2 linked regions of the Callithrix jacchus genome follow. The protein of the gene in region 1 interacts with the protein of each later gene in a pairwise test. Links are inferred from orthologs where the notes say so. Each region holds a gene or a part of one and is shown in the gene's direction. Other genes may lie near its edges. The genes, in order: MAGEB4 and FERD3L.

Region 1 (9,352 bases):
GATCCAGAGCCTGTTCCATGAAAAGCACATTCAATTAGGTTACCTCGTGTGTAATCCGACATACTCTAGCAAGGTCTAGTTTTTGAGAGGTGGTTAAATGAATGAAAATAAAAGTGGTTTAGATGGAAGGATAGTTGAAAGAGACGGAAGTTTTTGGTCCTTGAAACACATTTTAGAATCTGTGTTGCACCTACTCAGGAAGTCTACCTCATACTAATATTGAGTCATCTATCAAGTAATAAGGAAATATTAATTAGTTTTCCTTTCTAAGTAGCACTTTGTCTGATAGGGCTTTCTTTGTCCTAGAATATGGTATAATCTCCGACATCTCCTGCACTGAAAAATAAGACCCAGTGGAGTGGATGGCAATGTCAGGGGACAAATGAATCATAATAAGAACTGGCACTATTTTATGTCTCAATGCATCTCAAATACTTTATATACATTGTATACATTTTACCAGTCCGACAAAACAGAGTTTATCAAACCCACTTCACAGAAAAAATGTCTGAAGCCCACAGTCTGTTAATGTGCCTAATTTTTTCATGGCTGGTAAGTGACAGGACTGGGGCAAGACCCCTAGTCTGAATGAGTGTAAAGCACACTCTGCTTCATGCCTCACAACCTGAGACTGACTGTGTCCCCTTACTCACTTTTCTTCTCACTGCTCCCAAATGTACATCAAGTTATAAGATTCTGTGCCCAATTTGCTGGACTGGAATACAGAACCAAAGCAACAAAATCACCAAAATGACTGAGACGTGTGAATAAAGGAGAGAAAGACAATATTTGATGACAATATGATTGCATAATCAAATACATATAAACTCAAAGGATCATGGGCTCACATTCTGTCATTCTGGTCAGTCCCCCCATTTTTTAAGGAAGTTAAATACTTTCCAAGAGAAATACATAAGAGACTGGTAAAGAGAAGAAATAGATCAATGTGTTTCTCTGACAGTATGACTTCTATCCTGGGGCTTCTGTTTGTGTTACAGCTTCCCCATCTTACATCACTCCTGGGACAGGGATGCATTGTCTGCAAGATTTGTTGTAGGGAAACTGGTCAAGACTTTTAAGGGATGTGGTATTTCCCAGGAAGTCATTAATTAAGGGACAAGAACCAAGAAAAAGACCCTCATATAGGAGGACAGAGCAGAGCAACATGCCAGACACAGTTCTTAGCCTGAGCATCTCCTCACTTATTCTTCAAAGTTCATAGGGACTTGTGAGTTCTTGGACCTCAGGTCAGTAGAGGGAGGAGTCCCATTCTCTGACACGTACCAAGTTGAGGACCCTGAATAAAGAATGAGGGAAGCATTCACCCCAATAGTCTTGACAGGATGTAGCTGAACCTAATTTCTACTCCGGAGGTCTTAAGAAGTTAAAGACCATTATCTCAGGCTAGCTGACTCAGGTCCATAGAGATAGGATTCCTAAGGTGTGCCAGGAGTAAAGTGAGTACCCTGAAGGGTGCAGGAACCACCAAACCCCTATCAGTGTAGACCCCACAGAATCCTCCCTATTGTCATCTCTGAGAGATTCAGGCATGAATGTCAGACAGAGGCACCCTCATATCATCAGTAGTAACAGAGAAGTGAAGGTCTTGTTCTGAGGTGGGCAGTCCCAGCTCAGCAGGGGGAGGAATATTAAGCCTTCCTGTGAGTCAGATTTAGGATCCTGAGTTAGGACCTGAGTAGGACGATCCACCATAAGACCTCAACCTGGCTACCACAGCCGCCACTCTTGGGAGACCATAGTCAGTTATGGCCAGATAAGGCCACCCTCTCCTCCTCCTATCAGATCTCAGGGAGGTACAGGCCTTTTAAACAGAGAGGTCTTGAGGTCAAAAAGGAGGGGAGCCTCAGGATCTTCCAGGAGCCAAATAAAGGAAAACAAGTGAGAGCTGAGGGGGCTGCTCACCTCTAAATAGAGAGGACAACAGACTCTAGCCCCCTGCATAAATCTTAAATTGCCAGGGCAACATGTGAGGCTGAGGCTTCACCATCACTTTTTTTTAAATACTTGACCTTCTTTTTTCAGAATAGTTTAATGTTCACAGCAAAACTGAGCAGAAAGCACAGAGAGTTCCACAGGCATCCTGTCCTCCCAGGCACAGCCTCCCTCATATCAACCTCCCAACCCAGGGTAATACACTTGTTACAATTGAGCATACAGGGACACATCATTATCACCTTATCAATTTAAGACAGAATTGCTTTACTGCCTTAAAAGTTCTCTGTGCCTCATGTATTTATCTCTCACTCTTCCCAACCCTTGGAAACCACTCAACTTTGTACTGTTTCTACACTTTTGCCTTTTCCAGAATGTCTATAGATGGAATTATGCATTGTGTTGCCTTTTCACATTGGCTTCTTTCACTTTGTAATATGTAGTTAGGTTTCCTCCATGTCTCTTTGTGGCTTGATAGTTCTTTCCCTTTTAATACTGAATAATATTTTATACTCTTAATTTACCCACTCTCCTTCTGAAGGACATCTTGGCTGCTTTCCAGTTTAGGCAATTATAAATAAAGCTACTATAAATGTTTGTGTGCAGGTTATTTTGTGAACATTCTTTTCAACTCATTTGGCTAAATAACAAGAAGTGCAGTTACTAGATCATATGATAAGACTACACATAGTTTTGTAAGAAATTTATAAACTGTCTTCCAAAGTGGCTGTACCATTTCGCATGTCCACCAGCAATGACAGTGTGCTCCTATTGCTCCACATCCTCGTCGGTAGTTGGGGTTATCAGAGTTTTTGATTTTGACCATTCTTATAGGTATGGAGTGGTTTCACATTACTTTAATTTGCAAGTCCCTAATGACATGTGATGTTGTGCATCACTTCATGTACGTATTTACTTTCTGTATATATTATTGTTGAGATGCTCATTTATATCTTTTGCCCATTTTTAATAGGGTTGGTCCATTCTTATTGTTCAGTTTTAAGAATTTTTTGTATGTTTTGGTTAACAATCTTTTATCAGATATGTCTTTTGAAAATAAATTTTTCCCAATCTGGGAGTTGTCTTATTCTTTGTGGTATCTTTACCAGAGCAGAAGTTATAATTTAGTGAAGCCCAGATTATCAATTTTTTTTTCATAGATGCCCATCACATTTTATGTCAGAACTAGAAAAGGTGAAATTCTTGGTCTGAAGTCGCAGTTATTAGTCATCAGAAGAGACAGTCCACAACCCTGCATGGAGTCCAGATGAGGAAACTGAGTGCAAACTTGGGACCTGAGGATCCCAGGACAGAGAGCACTAAATGCTTCGAAGCAGGGGTGGTGGGTTGAGGTGCCCCTACATTTCCCTCATCTGGGTCCCATAGAAAGTTAAAGATTCTACTTCACAACACCAATAGAAGGAGGCTGAGGCCCTGCCAAGAGCTGACAGGATAATTCTAAAAGTAATCAGAGTGGATCCTTTCCAAGCCAGAACACAGAGAGAACCCAGTCAGCCCCCAGCAGGGTTGGCAAGCTGCAGCCTAAGGCACATTGTAACTTCCTCAGCTGAGTTCTCAGGGGACAGAATGACGAAGAACAATAGCCCAGTCAATACTTAGAGCAGTGTTCTCAAGGAATCCTGCAGAGACGGTTTCTGAAAAGCCAAGGTAGTATCTGCCTACTAAAGGTGTTCTCAGGATCTCAATCTCTCTTCTCCAGGCACCATATCACCTGCCCTTCTGGCTACTCTCCTACCTGTTGTGCCTAATCACAGCTATCATGCCTCGAGGTCAGAAGAGTAAGCTCCGTGCCCGTGAGAAACGCCAGCGGACCCGTGGTCAGACCCAGGATACCAAGGTTGCTCAGGCCACTGCAGCAGAGAAAGAAGAGTCTCATTCCTCTTCCTCATCTGTTTTGGGGGATATTCCCTCCAGCTCCCCTGCTGCTGGCATTCTGCAGAGGCCTCAGAGAGCACTACCCACCACTGGTGCTGCAGCTATGTCATGCACTGGATCTGATGAAAGTGACAAGAGCCAAGGTGAGGAAAAGGCAAGTTCCTTCCAGGCCTCAACATCCACTGAGAGCTCAATCAAAGATCCTATAACCAGGAAGACGAAGATGTTGGTGCAGTTCCTGCTGTACAAGTATAAAATGAAAGAGCCCACTACAAAGGCAGAAATGCTGAAGATCATCAGCAAAAAGTACAAGGAGCACTTCCCTGAGATCTTCAGCAGAGCCTCTCAGCGCATGGAGCTGGTCTTTGGCCTTTCCTTGAAGGAAGTCAACCCGACCAGTCACTCCTACACCATTGTCAGCTTGCTGAATCCCACCAACGATGGAAACGAGAGCAGTTCCTGGAAATATCCAAGGAATGGGCTTCTGATGCCTCTACTGAGTGTGATCTTCTTAAGTGGCAACTGTGCCAGTGAAGAGGAAATCTGGGAATTCCTGAATGTTTTGGGGATCTATGATGGTAAGAGGCATATCATCTTTGGGGATGCCCGAAAGCTTATCTCCCAAGATCTGGTGCAGGAAGAATATCTGGAGTACAAGCAGGTGCCCAACAGTGATCCCCCACGCTATCAATTCCTGTGGGGTCCAAGAGCCTATGCTGAAACCAGCAAGATGAAAGTCCTAGAGTTTTTGGCCAAGGTGAATGATACCATCCCCAGTAACTTCCCACTCCTTTATGAAGAGGCTTTGAGAGATGAAGAAGAGAAAGCCAAAGCCCGGCCCAGAGTTGCAGCCAGGCGTGGCACTACTGCCATGACTAGTGCACATTCAAGGGACACATCCAGCAGCTCTTCCCACCCCATGTGAGATCTAAGGCAAATTGTTCAATTTGTAGTTGAAAGACCTGCTGCCTTCTGCTGTTCCTGTGCTGCATGAATAACTCGGTGATATATCTCTTTGTTGAATTTTCCTGTGATGTTTCTTAAAATAGAAAGGTTATTTAAATTCAGAATATAAGCTTAGAAATGGCATGCATCACACACTTATTTCTGTTTATCAGGTTGGTTTAGTAATAAGAGTTTGGTTTTTGAAATACAAATAGAAAATCTGAAAATCGTTTTTGTGATACAGAGCAAAATAACATGGCGTTGGAGTAAGGTTATTTTTAGAAATTTAAAATAACGCCACAGTAAAATAGAAGAATCTGAAGACAGAAAGAGAAGAAAAGCAAAAGTTGCTTTATTTTTGATTTATCTTACTACTTTTAGTCTTTTGTTGTTCATAAATTTGAAAGTTACATACCTGGTTTGCTTAGATTATTTAAGAATGTGGAGGCTTCGGCCAAGGTCAATGACAGTGTCCCCATTGTCTTCCCTCTATTAAGAGAAGACTTTGAGAGATGAGGGAGACAGTGTTGCAACTGCTCCTGGCATGTTCCAGTGTGATGTCCAACAGTGTCATCCACTCCTTGTGAAGTCTGAGGTATATTCTTTACTTTTAATTAAAGAAAATATTAACCTTCTAATTAATAGAGGGCCAAAGAGGAGTTGGTGGGAACATCATATATAATATATTTGTATGTAAAATGATTTATCTTTTCATTTTCCTGTTTTTCAGTGTTCTTTCTTTTAATTGTAGAATTATTTAGTTTCAGAATCTAAGTTTATGAATGGCATGAAAAACTCATTTATTAAAATATGTCAGGTTGAAGAACAAGAACTTTTGCATTATGTAAAACAATTTAAAATCTTTAAATCTTTTTCTGTGATCTAGAACAAGACAATATGACATTAGAATACAGAATTTGTGAAAAGGAAATTACCTAGCAATAAAGTTGGTGGGATCATGAAATAGAGAAAAAAAAGTAAAATGTGGTCAATTCTTGCTTTGTTTTATTCCTTTTAGTCTTTCTTTGTAAAACTGAAGTATATGTATCTGGATTGGGTTAGCTTTCTCAGGAATGTGGGAGAAATTAAATAGCAATACATTTGACTTCCGGCTCACTTGCACTTTAATTGTCCTAATATTAATTGAGCAGCTACTCTTCAGAGGGCTCCTAGCTAGCACTGGATAAGCAAAAAAATAAAAATTAAAAAAAAATAAAACCCTGTCCATAGAATTTTAGAATTCAACAGCAGCTATCACATAATGAAGGTAATGAGATAGTCCCTAAGACCTAAAGACAGTTGAAAAGAGGATATAAGAAGGTGGGGGTGTTTCTAGGGGAAGAATCTAGTGTAAATGTCCTAAGCAAGGTAATTGAGACTCTGGGAAACTGAACATACTGCAGTAGGAGGTAATTTTATGTTGCTGCATAGTGACTAGATGGGGCGCACCGAGCAGGGGGGTCACACACTCAGATGATGGATCTCAGAGTTGAGAGTTAGAGACTGGAATGAAAAATTGCCCTTAAAAGTTACTTTGGAATTGTGGAAAAAAACAGAGGAAATCTTTGCCTGGGGTAGGGATTGAAAATGGCCTGTGCTCTTGTCCCAGCGCAAGTGAATCCAGTACACAGATTAGGTGTTTTATGCACATAGTCCCCGGGGTGTTTCTGAGAAATAAAGGTGTTACTCCTTTAAGACTGGAAACTCATATGCCACTGGGCTAATACTCTGCCATCAGCTGGGGAGCCAGAATCCATTCCATTAAAAGGGCATTCATTTTTCTTTTCTTTCATGTGTTTTGGAAGTTTTAAGGGACATCTAGATTTTTGGTGATGGTAAAATAAATGAATATAAGGGTGGTTTGTATGAAAGGCTAGAGTTGGTCTTTGAAGCAAACCCTAGAAGGTTTCAGTTGCTTTCAGCTGAGAAAGACAACTCCACACTCAAACTATGATTCAGTATGGAAAAGATACTTAGAGTTTCTTTGTAAGCTGCATTTTGGGCTGATTTGTAGTTTCATGTCTTAGAATGTTGTATATTCTTTGTTATCACTTGGGCTTAAAAAAAATCAGCAGATTTCTTCTGAATCAACTACAGATGATTTCTTCTGTAGTTGAAATAATCATAGTAATAAGCATTGTTTAAAGTCTCAATGCACTCCAGGGCTTTGCACATGTTAACCACATTCCACCAGTCCTACATCACAAGGCTTATCAAGCCCATTTCACAGATGCAGAGCCTAAGGCTCATAGAGTTTGGTAATGTGCCCAAGTTCATACAGCTAGTAAGTGATAGGGCTGAAACTAGACTGCTGATCTGAATTCCTCTAGAGTCCACACTGTTCCACTCCTCCCAAACTGAAGCTTACCACAAGTTGCTTAATTCATTTTCTTCTGCTAACCCAAAGTGTATCTCAGGTAACAAAGAAGAGGTCTATGCCCCAAACACTGATTGGAATACAAAACCAGAGCAAGGATAATACCAAAATAATTGACACATGTAAGTTAAAGACAGAAAGAAATAATACTCGGTGACAATATGATCATCAACAGAAGCAAAATCAGATAGCTTCAAAAGATCGAAAGATTGCAAAATCATCTGGCTTCACCCTTTTCTATAGAAAGTAAGTCTTTTAGAAATACCCTTTGGTTGGTGAAGTGAAAGAACAGATCAGCATGTTTTTTCCCCTGAGAGCACAGTATCTGTCCTAGGCTCTCCACCTTCCATTTCAGTTTCCCAATGTCACATTACTTCTGGGACAGGGACCTCTTCTCTGCAAGCTCTGCAAAGAGGAAATTGATCAAATTTTTGCAGAGATGTGACATTTCCCTGGAAGACATTGATCAAGAGACAGGAGCCAACATGAGAACCCTCATGAATGAATAGTAGGGTGAAAACCATTTCAAAATGTAAGGTTTCATCTAGACCCTTCAGGAGGGTGACCTCAGTTCAGTAAACAGAGGAGTCCCAGGTTCTGATACATGTAAAGGCGAGGAGCAAAACTGTGGAGCTCTATTGAGGCCTGTCCTTACTATCTGTTCTTGCAGGTTGCAAAAGAACTATGATCATATGAGGATCATCCAGAATTCCAACTCCAAATTCTCAGGAAAACAGGACCTTTATGTGAGAGGAGCAGGTTCAGGTAAATAAAGGGTGGAGTTATAGGTTTGCTCACTTGTCAAGGTGAGAGGCTGAATGTGGACTAAGGGTTAAGAAGAGGCCTCACAAAAAGCCCCAGGCGGGGATGGCAGGTTGATTTCTGCCCGGAAAGTCTCAGGGAGGTGACTGGTTCCGTCTACTTGGGGCAGCGTCAGTTTCACAGAGGGAAGAGGTTGAGACTCTAACAAGAATCACTGTAGGACTCTTACGTGTTATGCGGGGACTCCACCAGCAGACAAGACCACACAGAGTTCATCCCGTTTTGAAGCACCAGACAGAGCTATCTGCCTAAGGTGCCTCTCATTTCCGCCTGGAAGGTCTCAGGGAGGAGAGCATCTGGCCCTGAAGGGGGAGTCGCTCTAATTCTGCCTGGAGAGGAAACCGGAGCCGGAGCAGGAGCGGGAGTCCTAGTGAGGAAGACCTCTCCCCAAAAGAGGGACGTTCACAGAGTCCTGCCACTGCTGTCAGGCCTGTGAGGCCCAGGCAGGGGTGGCCTGTATCGCATGCTCAGATTTCCACCGTGGGTTTGAGGGAGGTTGGGGTATTGTATGGAGGCTGGCAGATTTGGGTCAGCAGGCGGAGTCATCCCAGGCTGCTAGATACTAAGGTAAGGACTTCTAGGGGGTACGTAGAGATTAGCAACACAAGAACAGTGACCTCCCATAGCATCATGCTCCTGCCTTCACCCTTCAAAGGCCCCAGGCTGCCGAATGTGGCTCATCCTGACTTCTGCTTTGAAGGCGAGGACTCCAGCACACGTGGTTCGTCCTCACTTCCATTATGAGGGCAAGGAGCCAAGCGGATGTTGCTCATCCTCACTTCCGCTTTGAAGGGTGGGGCAGGCGGTGGGGGAGGGCGGGGCCCCGGGCGGATGTGACGTATGTGATGGGGAGGGGGCTGACCCCAGGCGGATGTGACTTACCACTTTCGCTTTGAAGGTGAGGAGGCGAGGAGGCGAGTTGCGAGTCGCCAATTAAGGGGCGCAGCGTCGGTAGGCCGACGGTGAATTCTCAGGACTGGTCAGGAGTCAAGGTGAGGACCCTGAGTGTAAATTGAAGAGACACCTTCACCCGTAGCAAATAGGGCCCCATTAAGTCCCGCTTTTGCATTTGGTCCTGGGAGGCTTTAGGTAACCAGTGGGTAGTAACTTGACTGTCTCTTCGGCGACTCAGGGAGATGAGAGCTTTGGTATAAGGCATATAGACTCAGGTCTATGGCGGGAGGAGTCTTAAACCCTACTAGGAGTCATGGACAAAGTTCTGTGTGACGACTGAGGGAGTCGGCGATTCAGGGAGATGAGAGCTTTGGTATAAGGCATATAGACTCAGGTCTATGGCGGGAGGAGTCTTAAACCCTACTAGGAGTCATGGACAAAGTTCTGTGTGACGACTGAGGGAGT
Region 2 (9,775 bases), on another chromosome or scaffold:
GGTATATACATACAATGGAATATCATTCAACCTTAAAAAGAAAGGAAATTCTAATGTGTGCTGAAATACAAATGACTCTTTAGGATATTATGCTAAGTGGAATAAGCCAATCACAAAAAGAAAAATACTGTAGAATTCTACTTATATGAGCTACACAGAAAAGTCAAATTTATAGAGGCAGAAGGTAGAATGGTGGTTGCTAGGGGCTGAGGAAAGGAGAGAATGAGGAGTTACTTTTTCAATGAATATGGAGTCTCCATTTTATAAAATTGAAATAGTTTTTGAGATTGATGATGGTGATGGTTGCACAATATTATGAATGTATTTAATACCACTGAACTGTACACTTAAAAATAGGTAAAGTGGTAAATATTATATGTATTTTACCACCATAAAAACTTTGGAAAAATATAAATGAAAATTTTAAATGTGCCATAAAGAGAATGAAATGAAAAGCCAAATAGCTGGAAGAAGATATGTGTAGTACATATATATGACATGGAACTTATACCCAGAATATTTATATAAATCAACTTTTTTAATTAGAAAAATCCACAAAAAACAGTTGAGCAGTACTGTATTAAAGAGCCAGTGCCTAATCAGCCAACATGAAATGGTGCTCAATTTTACTTATCATCAGGGAAATGCAAATAAAACCGCAATGTGATACCCATACACGTCTTTAAGACAGCTTAAACTAAAAAGATAGAAACTGGAAAGTATCGATGAGGATGAGAAGAAATTGGAACTCCAATACATCATTTGTGACAGTGTAAACTGTTACAACCATTTTGGAAAACAATTTGCTAGTAACCACCAGAACTGAACATATGCATAAACTATTCCAATTCTAGGTGTATCCCAAACAGGAAAGGATAATTGTGCTTACAAACAAGTATGTACAATAATCTCATGATACTGCTAATTGTAGTAACTAAAAATTGGAAACTACCCAAATGTTCGTCAACAAGAAAAGGAAAGAACAAATAAGTAGTGGTAAATTTACACAGTGAAATTATTCACTTATGAGAAAAACATGCACAAATTTCATAAACAAAATGTTGAACCAAAGACACAAGCATATCCAGAATATAATTTATTTGTATAAAATGCTTGAAAATTGGCAAAAACTTCAGAAATCAAATAGCAATACCTTGAGGTGTGGTTAATGATTGAATATGGGCACAAGATTGTAGAGGAGGTCATCTGGGATACTTGTAATGTTTTGTTTTCTGTCTTGTGTGCTAGTTACATGAGTGTGCTCACTTTGTGAAATAGTCTCAAGCTATAAACCTAAGGCTTATCTGTTTTTACATTACCTCAAACTTCAAGAAAGCATTCCATTTCTTGATTTGGGCACTGGCTTCATCGATACATTCACTCTGAAAATTCATGAAGCTGCATATATATGATTTGTGAATTTTAAAGTATATACACTGAACTTCAAAAATAAGTTTAACTAAAATATGAAAGGAAAGAAACAAAACAGGTGATTATATATTCTTCTATCTCTAAATCAGCCATGACATACATAATTTGAAATGGAATAGAAAGAAGCCGCTGGTCCCCTCTCCATGTCAGCAGGAGTACTTCTTATGCCTTTCTCCTACAATCATGACAAACATCTACCTTTGTCATATCTTTATCATTTGCCCTACAAGTTCATGTTTCTGGAATAATGAAGGGACAAGAAAAAGAAAAGGAAAGGTAGGGTTTTAAAAATTGGGGGGACTTATTTGTTTTACTCCCTGAATGCTTTATATTTCCACCTTTTTCCCCTTAGCACCCTTAAACCCAGGCTTCAGCTTATTTGAGAATTATGGTGCAAGTTATTCTTGGTCATTGTTTTTTACTTTGATTCTTAACATAATAGTATAAACAAAATGTTTAATGTCTAATGGGAATGGTCAATAGAAATAAACCAGATAATCAAATAAGCAAAATTGATTGTCATTTCATAATCATTTCTTGAAATATTTTGAGCAAAATTTGTGAAGGAGTTATCAAACTTTTTATAAACGCCTCCCTATGGATTACTGAATATCTATAAACTATAGAGCTAGAACCCAGAGGAATCAGGGTTAAACTTAGCTGCGTTTAATCCTCAGTTGAGTCTTTAAAAAAACCTCTCTCTCTTAACTTTCAAATCTAGAAATGAAAATAATGGTTCCTTCCAATGAGATGAACTGTAACATCACTTGGTACTTTATAAATTTACTGCTCTTGCTATAATTAAATTATAAATAAAATAATTATAATTATAGATTATACAACTATAATTATAAATGAAAAGCACTTATTATCATAACTTAGGTTTTAACATTTTTTGCTTTAATTATACTAGCATGATTATAGCCTTGTAAGATAAAACGACTGTGGTATAAACAGAAGTGTTTATCCTGGGATTTTTATGATGAAATAAAAACAAAAACATTTAAAAATATTTGCTGTAGATGTACCTATTAGGACACTTTAAAAATTCTTAATACTTTCATACCAGTATTTCATCCAAGTTCTGGGCACTGCTTCCATTACTTTTGCTACAATTCCTTTTATGATATGATTACTGAAATCTCTATTCACTGCCAGGTGCAGGGCTCAGGCCAGTAATCTCAGCACTTTGAAAGGCCAAGGTGAAAGGATTGGTTGAGGCCAGAGCAAAATAGTTAGACCTTCTCTCTAAAACACAAACCAATTTAGCCTCATGTGGTGGCCAGTGACTGCAGTCCTAGATACTCAGGAGGCTGAGATGGGAGAGTTGCTTGAGCCCAGGAGTTTGAATCACTGCACTCCAGCCTGCATGACTGAGTGAGACTCTGTTGAAAGAAAGAAAGAAGAAAGAAAAAAGAGAGGGGGGAGGAAGGAAGGGAGAGAAAGAGAGAGAAAAGAAAAGAGGGAGAGACATTCCCTTGGCTAAAATCATAAAGGAGTTCAGTCCAAAGAAACTGTCCCTTTAGAGTCTCGTGAAAGCTTCTGACCCCCATTTCATGACATTTTAAATTTAAGTATCAACCATGTTTTCCTTCATTAAGTGCCCCAATGTATTATATTGTGCAACTAAATTCTCACTTGACTGCAGTATTTAATCCACTTGCAAATAGGGTTGTAAAGGAATAAAAAATAAGTCACTGAGAAGCATTTAACATAATTTAAAAATCAACAATAAATTTGCCCAAATATTTAATAACATATTAATTTAAACAAGGGTTAGAAAGCATGTTAGTACTTTTTTGAAACAAAAATCAATTCTCCCATTTACTAGCTTCATAGCCACTGTTGACGAACCTATTAGTTTTTGTTTTTCAGCCTTCCCTTTGAAAGAAGCTTAGTAAAAATCAATGAAGTAATATCCAGGATCTCAGTCTCATTAACATCTTCCGGATCACAAATTTCAATTATTCTCTGCCTGAGTTATCACAATGCAAACTGGAGAATGAAGGGTAAACACAAGCAAATGAGATAAAATCTATTAAAAGATCGAGAGACACCAGACACAAATGGGCTAAAAGAAGAAAAAGAAGAATTCAAAGTTATACGTTTTGGTTACACACCGAGAGGTTAGGAAGAACAAAACGAATTGAGATTACCTGTTATAGAAATAGGCGGTTTCTGGGAGCTGTCCAATGTCCTGAGTGAACCATCACAGCCACAACTTACCCCTTCATAGGGACTGATGTCCTCAGCGGTTCTCTTTTGAACCGGAATGTTTCTACATTCATCTTTTTAGGCTGCTTCTTCTACTCTACCTTAAAAATTATCTTCTAATCTGTCACTTTTACCCAATGGGTCTTTTAAGTAAATCTTTACACAGTACTGTGTAATTAAGTAAATATAATTATTGGCAAACAAGGAAAAAAAAGAACCCGTTTGTTAAAATATTAGGGATACTAGAGATAATATAAAATCAGGAAAATCTTATTTTTCTTATGCCAAATTTAAAATTTATCTCAAAAAATAATGACCTAATGATAGCCAAAAGTCTTCCTTATATATAATGCAATAAATAATTGTTTCTGCTCTTAAATCTTAATGTAGGACAACACAAATCAATGAGGAAAATACGCCAGATGGAAGTGTTAGGTTTTTTCTTTGTTCAGAAACAAATACTCGCTCCGCAACTTAAAAGTCGGAGGACTTCTCAGCAGAGGACTCCTTGGCTTATCAAGGGCAAACCGCATTTCTGAAAGGAGCTTGAAGTGGTTTTGTTTGTGGGGAGAGTTTGCAAAATGTCCTGAGCTTAAATTTCTCATTTTATTGCCATTATAACTTTTCCTCTTGGAATAAAATCCTCTATTTTACATGACTAGGAGGTAAAGTAAGGAAAGGAAAGTCAAGTATCTCAATTGTTAAGCTGATTGCCTCCAAACAGACTTTCGAAGTCAGGGTTTGTAACGTGGCAGGAGAGCTGTTTGCGATGCCCTGGAAAGAAAAAGAAAGCCGGTTCCAACAGCGACTCTAGGGAATGCACTCTCGGCCCCCCTGCCATGCTTACTTAAGCTAATGGAAGGTCTTGCCTTTCAGCAGCCGCTGCACTGGGATACCAGACAAACAGCTACCCTCGATCCCAGGCAGGCAGGGCCCCTCTTCAGGACATCATTAAAAGCGCATGCACTTGCTCCACATCCATTGGCAGATGGTGGCAAGATTCAAGACTCCTACCCTGAAGTCAAGGAGAAGCCATCGCGCTGGAAAACATCCTCGCTTTGAAAATCCAAAACGAAATTAAAGAACTACACGAGATAAGGAGCCTAGAGAACATTAGTTGGCTGCAGGGGTGAGGAGAGACACAAAAAGCACAGCAGGTAAGAGCTGGGGGTTTTTGCCAAGAAGGAACTGTCCCGGGTGGCGCAGAGAAAAGGATCTCAGAACTGGAGTCCTGTCCCTTTGAGTCTTCCATGCGTGCTCAAGCTTGTCATCTTCCATAAGCTTCGAGAGGAGGGATGTTGTCAGAGCATTCCTTATCGCTGCGACTAATCCTGTTATCAGCTTGGTGATAAATATTTAATGTTCCCTGGCCCTTCGGTGATGATGCCCCATCAGATTCAAGGCTGTTAAGAATCCCCACCAGCAGCCTCGCTCCTCCCTGCGGAAAACCGATGAGAGGCAGGGCCAAGCCGAAGCGATGGCGGCCTATCCGGAGAGCTGCGTGGACGCCACGGTGCTGGGCTTCGTTGCAGACCTGTCCCTGGCCTCCCCGAGACGCCCTCTCCTCTGCGACTTCGCACCTGGGGCCTCCTTCAGGGACCCAGCCCTTGCGCTCCGAGAGGGAAGACCCAGGAGGATGGAGCGGTTTGAGGAGGGGGGCCCAGAAGAAGAGGACCAGGGGGACGGGGAAGAGGAGGAGGAAGAGGAGCGCGGGAGAGGCACCTCCCTATTAGGCCGCCCCAAGAGGAAAAGAGTGATCACCTACGCCCAGCGCCAGGCCGCCAACATCCGCGAGAGGAAGCGGATGTTCAACCTCAACGAGGCCTTTGACCAGCTGCGGAGGAAGGTGCCCACGTTTGCTTACGAGAAAAGGCTGTCCCGGATCGAGACCCTCCGCCTGGCCATTGTCTACATCTCCTTCATGACCGAGCTCTTGGAGAGCTGCGAGAAGAAGGAAAGCGGCTGAGCCGGGTGGGGAGAGTGCCCCCTCCTCGTCTGGGCGCGCTCGGGCTGGGGTGTGTCGGGACCGGGCGCGGGGTGCGGCCGGAGGGCAAGGAGGGACGCCCCAAGACAGAACGTCTGGCCTTCTGGAGCTCGGGTTAGGGATTGTAAGATCCCCAAGACCCCCGAGCAGAGTGGCTGCTGTAGAGTTCTTACCTACGCGACTACCCGTCCTAAGTGGAGTCGGTGTCAGGGGAGAGCCGGGAAGTCAGAGCGCTTGAGGATAAGGGGCCGTCCAGGCTGCTTCTGTGGGTTGGGTGGGTGGGAAGCAAACCCTCCTCGGAAATGGCAGACTTTGGAGCGTCTATAGAATCTAATCTCTCCTCTTTACCCTTTTTTTTTTCATAGAAATAATAATGTAGAAATTCTTACTTTTTAAAAAGCTTCAAGAGTCGGTGCCACGCCATCCCCGGCAGGCGCTCCAGCGGGCGCCTGCGTGGAGGATCTGGAGCAGACGCCCCGAGGGGCTCAGGATCATCTCTCTGGTCCTCCGAGGCGTGTCCAGGAACTGAGAGAAGGGAAAATGGAAGGCAGAGCAGTCGAGGGGAACTGCTGACAAAGTGCGACCTCTGCGAAGGGACATCCTTCCTGTCTTCCTTTGCCTCTTCCTCCCCTACCTTTCTCTCTCCCCTGCGCCAGCCCTCTCTTTCTTTCTCTCTCTCTCTTTCCACCTAGTTGATCCCAGAGGGACCATAGCTCCCTGTCCCAGGGCCACAGTGGTGTGGAGTCAGTGTCTTAGCCAGAGTGCCATTCTACGCTTTGCATCTTAAGTGCAGCGTCAGCTTCCGGTTCCAGTGCCTTCAGGCCCCAGCCAGAGTAAGGGACGAGTGCACTTGGGTCACTTCTGGGCCTGCAGCGGGCCTTGGGCGCCCTATGGCTTAGCCGACAGCCGGCGCTACCAACTCTGTGAAGGGGCTTGGATCTTTCTAGGAGCAGTGCCGCCTGAGCGCGCACTTTGACATTTTTAGCACTAGGGAGGAAAGATGTCTTTCACTCTTATGGCTTCTAGAGACTACCAGGAGAGACAAAAAGTCTAAAGAGGAGACGCGTTCAGACGCCTTGCAAAACGGCTGCCACGCAGAAGTTGAAGCGGGTCCATGCTGAGAGGCTGCCTCCAGTTTGGACCCCACTCTATTCCAGGAATCTCCCTTCTAGGTGATGTGCCAGAACTGGGGTCTTTTAGAAAGGAGGGAGTACCTGAGGAGAGGAACCTGATTGAATAATTCCCCCCAAACGTAAATTTAGTAATCCTAAAGGATAATCCCCAGTGATTATTCCAACACTTTATTTTGCCCCTCTTTATGCACAGGAATAGGCAGGCGCCTGTGAGAACACCTAATTCACTTAATCATGCTTTCAGAAATAGAATTCATTTCATTAATAGGTAATATATACTTCTAGAAAGTCTGGAAAACAAAAGTTCAAAAAAGAAAAAAACCGAATCACCCCACATTACCATATTGTTAGCATTTTCATCTATTTCTTTCCAGTCTTTTTCCCCCCTATGCAGTTATAAATTCAATATATTTAACTAATTCAACATACTTTGGGATACTGATATTTTTTCACTTGACATTCTAGAAGGTGCAATTGTTTTCCCTTAACTTGAAATATTATTCAAATGTGGTTTTGATTACCATATCTTATTGTCATATCCATGTATCACAACATCAGCCCTTTACAGATAGCTATTTCCTTTTTTAAAAAAATAAATGATGCTGCTAAGAGCATTCTTGTAAATGTCTTCTCTGTCTATTACTATTTCCTAATATTTGATGCCTAGAAGTGAATTTTCTGGATTTAAGTTTGTGGATACAAATGGCCAGATTCCCTTTTTGGTGGGTTCTGCCAGTTCACTCTCCCATCCTCTAGCATTGCAGGAATTTGCCTGTTTCCAAGCCCCATCATTAGTACTTTGAACATTTAAAACTTTTGTTAGTTTTCCTTTCCATAGGACCTGGGTTGGTTCTGAAATGAGCCACTGCTCCCAAAATGTTTTTTTTTACTTTTGCTGTGTCTTTCCACGAATAATTTTTCCAATTCTACCATAAGAAAGAACATTAGGATAAACAGGTAAAATAAAAAAATATAAGCAGCTAACACCAAACAACAACAAAACCCACAGAGTGTTGTTTTTCCTTTTCTTTTTTTTTTTTTTTGGAAAGAAAGAAAAAAAAAGGAGGGAGAGGAAGAAAGAGGAAGAAAAAGAGGGAGGGGGAACGGGAATGTAGCTTTATTCTAAAAATGGGTATTAATAATGGCCAATCAATATTTTGTGTATTTAAGGTGGAGAATGTATATTTTGTGTTTAAATACACTCCATTTTAAATAATGGAGAGCTCTATAAATATTTATTGAGTTTACTTGTTCTGGATCTGAGTTCAAGTCCTGGATATCCTTATTAATTTTCTGTCTCGTTGAGTCTAGATCTCTTTATGGATCTTATGTATCTAGGTGTTAGGATCGTTAGCTCTTATTGTTGCATTGATCCTTTTACCACTATATCTTTGTTGCTTTGAAATCTATTTTATCAGATGCGAGAATTGCACCTCCTGCTTTTTATTTATTTATTTATTTTTGCTCTCCATTTGGTTGGTAAATCTTTCTCCATCCCTTTGTTTTGAGTCTTCATGTATCTTTGGATGTGAAATGGGTTTGGATGTAGCATACCATTAGGTTTTGGCTGTATCTTTTGATTGGGGGATTTAGTCGATTTAAATTTAGTGTTACTGCTACTTGATGTTAACTGGCTATTTTATCCATTCGTTGATGTAAATTCTTCTTTATGTTGATGCTCTTTACTTTTTGGTATATTTTTGGAAAGGCTAATACTGGTTGTTTCTTTCTATGTGTAATGCTTCTTTAAGAAGCTCTTGTAAAGCAGGCCTGGTGGTAATAAAATTTCTGAGTACTTGCTTGTTCATAAAAGATTTTATTTTTCCTTCAATTGTGAAGCTTAGTTTGGTGGGATATGAAATTCTGGGCTGAAAGTTCTGTTCTTTAAGGATGTTGAATATCGGCCTCTACTCTCTTCTGGCTTGTAGGGTTTCTGCTGAGAAATCTGCTGTAAGTCTAATAGGCTTCCCTTTGTGGGTAACCTGACCTTTCTCTCTGGCTGCCCTTAGTATTTTCTCCTTTGTTTCAGCCCTGGTATATCTAATGATTATGTGCCTGGGGGTTGCTCTTCTTGAGGAATATCTTTGTGGTGTTCTCTGTATTACCTGGGTTGAATATTGTCCTGCTTTGCTAGATTGGGAAAGTTTTCCTGAATAATATCCTGAAGAGTATTTTCCAGCTTGGATTCATTCTCTTTGTTGTATTCAGGTACACCTATCAAATGTAAATTATCCTTTTTTCTCTATTCTTGTCTTCTCATTTTATTTCATTAAGTAGGTCTTCAACCTCTGATATCCTTTCTTCTGCTTGATCAATTTGTCTATTCAAACTTGTGCATATTTTGCTAAGTTTTTGTGTTGTGTTTTTCAACTCCATTAGTTCATTTATATTCCTCTCTATATTGTCTATTCTTGTTAGCATTTCGTCAAGCCTTTTTTCAAAGTTCTTAGTTTCTTTACATTGGGTTAGAACAAGTTCTTTTAACTCCCAGAAGTTTCTTATCATCCACCTTCTGAAGCCTACTTCTGTTAATGTTTTTTCTTATTCTTCTAACAGTGCAAGTTCTCCTAGAAATTAAACATCATTCTTAAAAAAAAATCATCTGAAAGTGTTAAATAAGTAAAAGGAAAGAAAAGTAGTTCCAATCTAGGAATTCTTAATATGTTTTTTAAAGAACAAGTTTTGAAAACCAGAAATAAAGCAAAACTGTGTAGCCAGGGACCATCAACATTGCTGGATCCTGAGGAGTAAATACAGCCACACATTGTCCTTAGTCTTCCCCCTCATATTCTAATATATTTTATTCCTAGTAGGCAAATAATATTCCTCTAGTGAATACCTCTTCAACATAGTAAATAATATCTTAAAAACTTCTAAATGAAAGTTATTTTCTTGTTATCACTAGAGGAATTATATCCATCCTTCTATAAAAAAATTTTTAACAGTTTATAAATGCTTTGTATTTGTAAGTTTTACATGTTTAGGAACTGTCTCAAATGCAGTCTTTTAAGAT

Evidence for each region.
Region 2: the proteins of MAGEB4 (region 1) and FERD3L interact in binary tests that used the Homo sapiens proteins (3 or more experiments, as listed by UniProt). The two-hybrid records come from large-scale screens. The link is inferred for Callithrix jacchus from reciprocal best matches to the Homo sapiens genes MAGEB4 and FERD3L.

The regions. Positions count from the first base shown.
Region 1 is NC_133524.1:31,132,420-31,141,771, forward strand, and holds MAGEB4 (melanoma-associated antigen B4), read left to right. Parts: upstream 1-3,597; 5' UTR 3,598-3,733; coding exon 3,734-4,774; 3' UTR 4,775-5,327; downstream 5,328-9,352.
Region 2 is NC_133512.1:39,271,385-39,281,159, forward strand, and holds FERD3L (fer3-like protein), read left to right. Parts: upstream 1-4,608; 5' UTR 4,609-5,122; coding exon 5,123-5,611; 3' UTR 5,612-8,202; downstream 8,203-9,775. UniProt on the Homo sapiens protein: Transcription factor that binds to the E-box and functions as inhibitor of transcription. DNA binding requires dimerization with an E protein. Inhibits transcription activation by ASCL1/MASH1 by sequestering E proteins.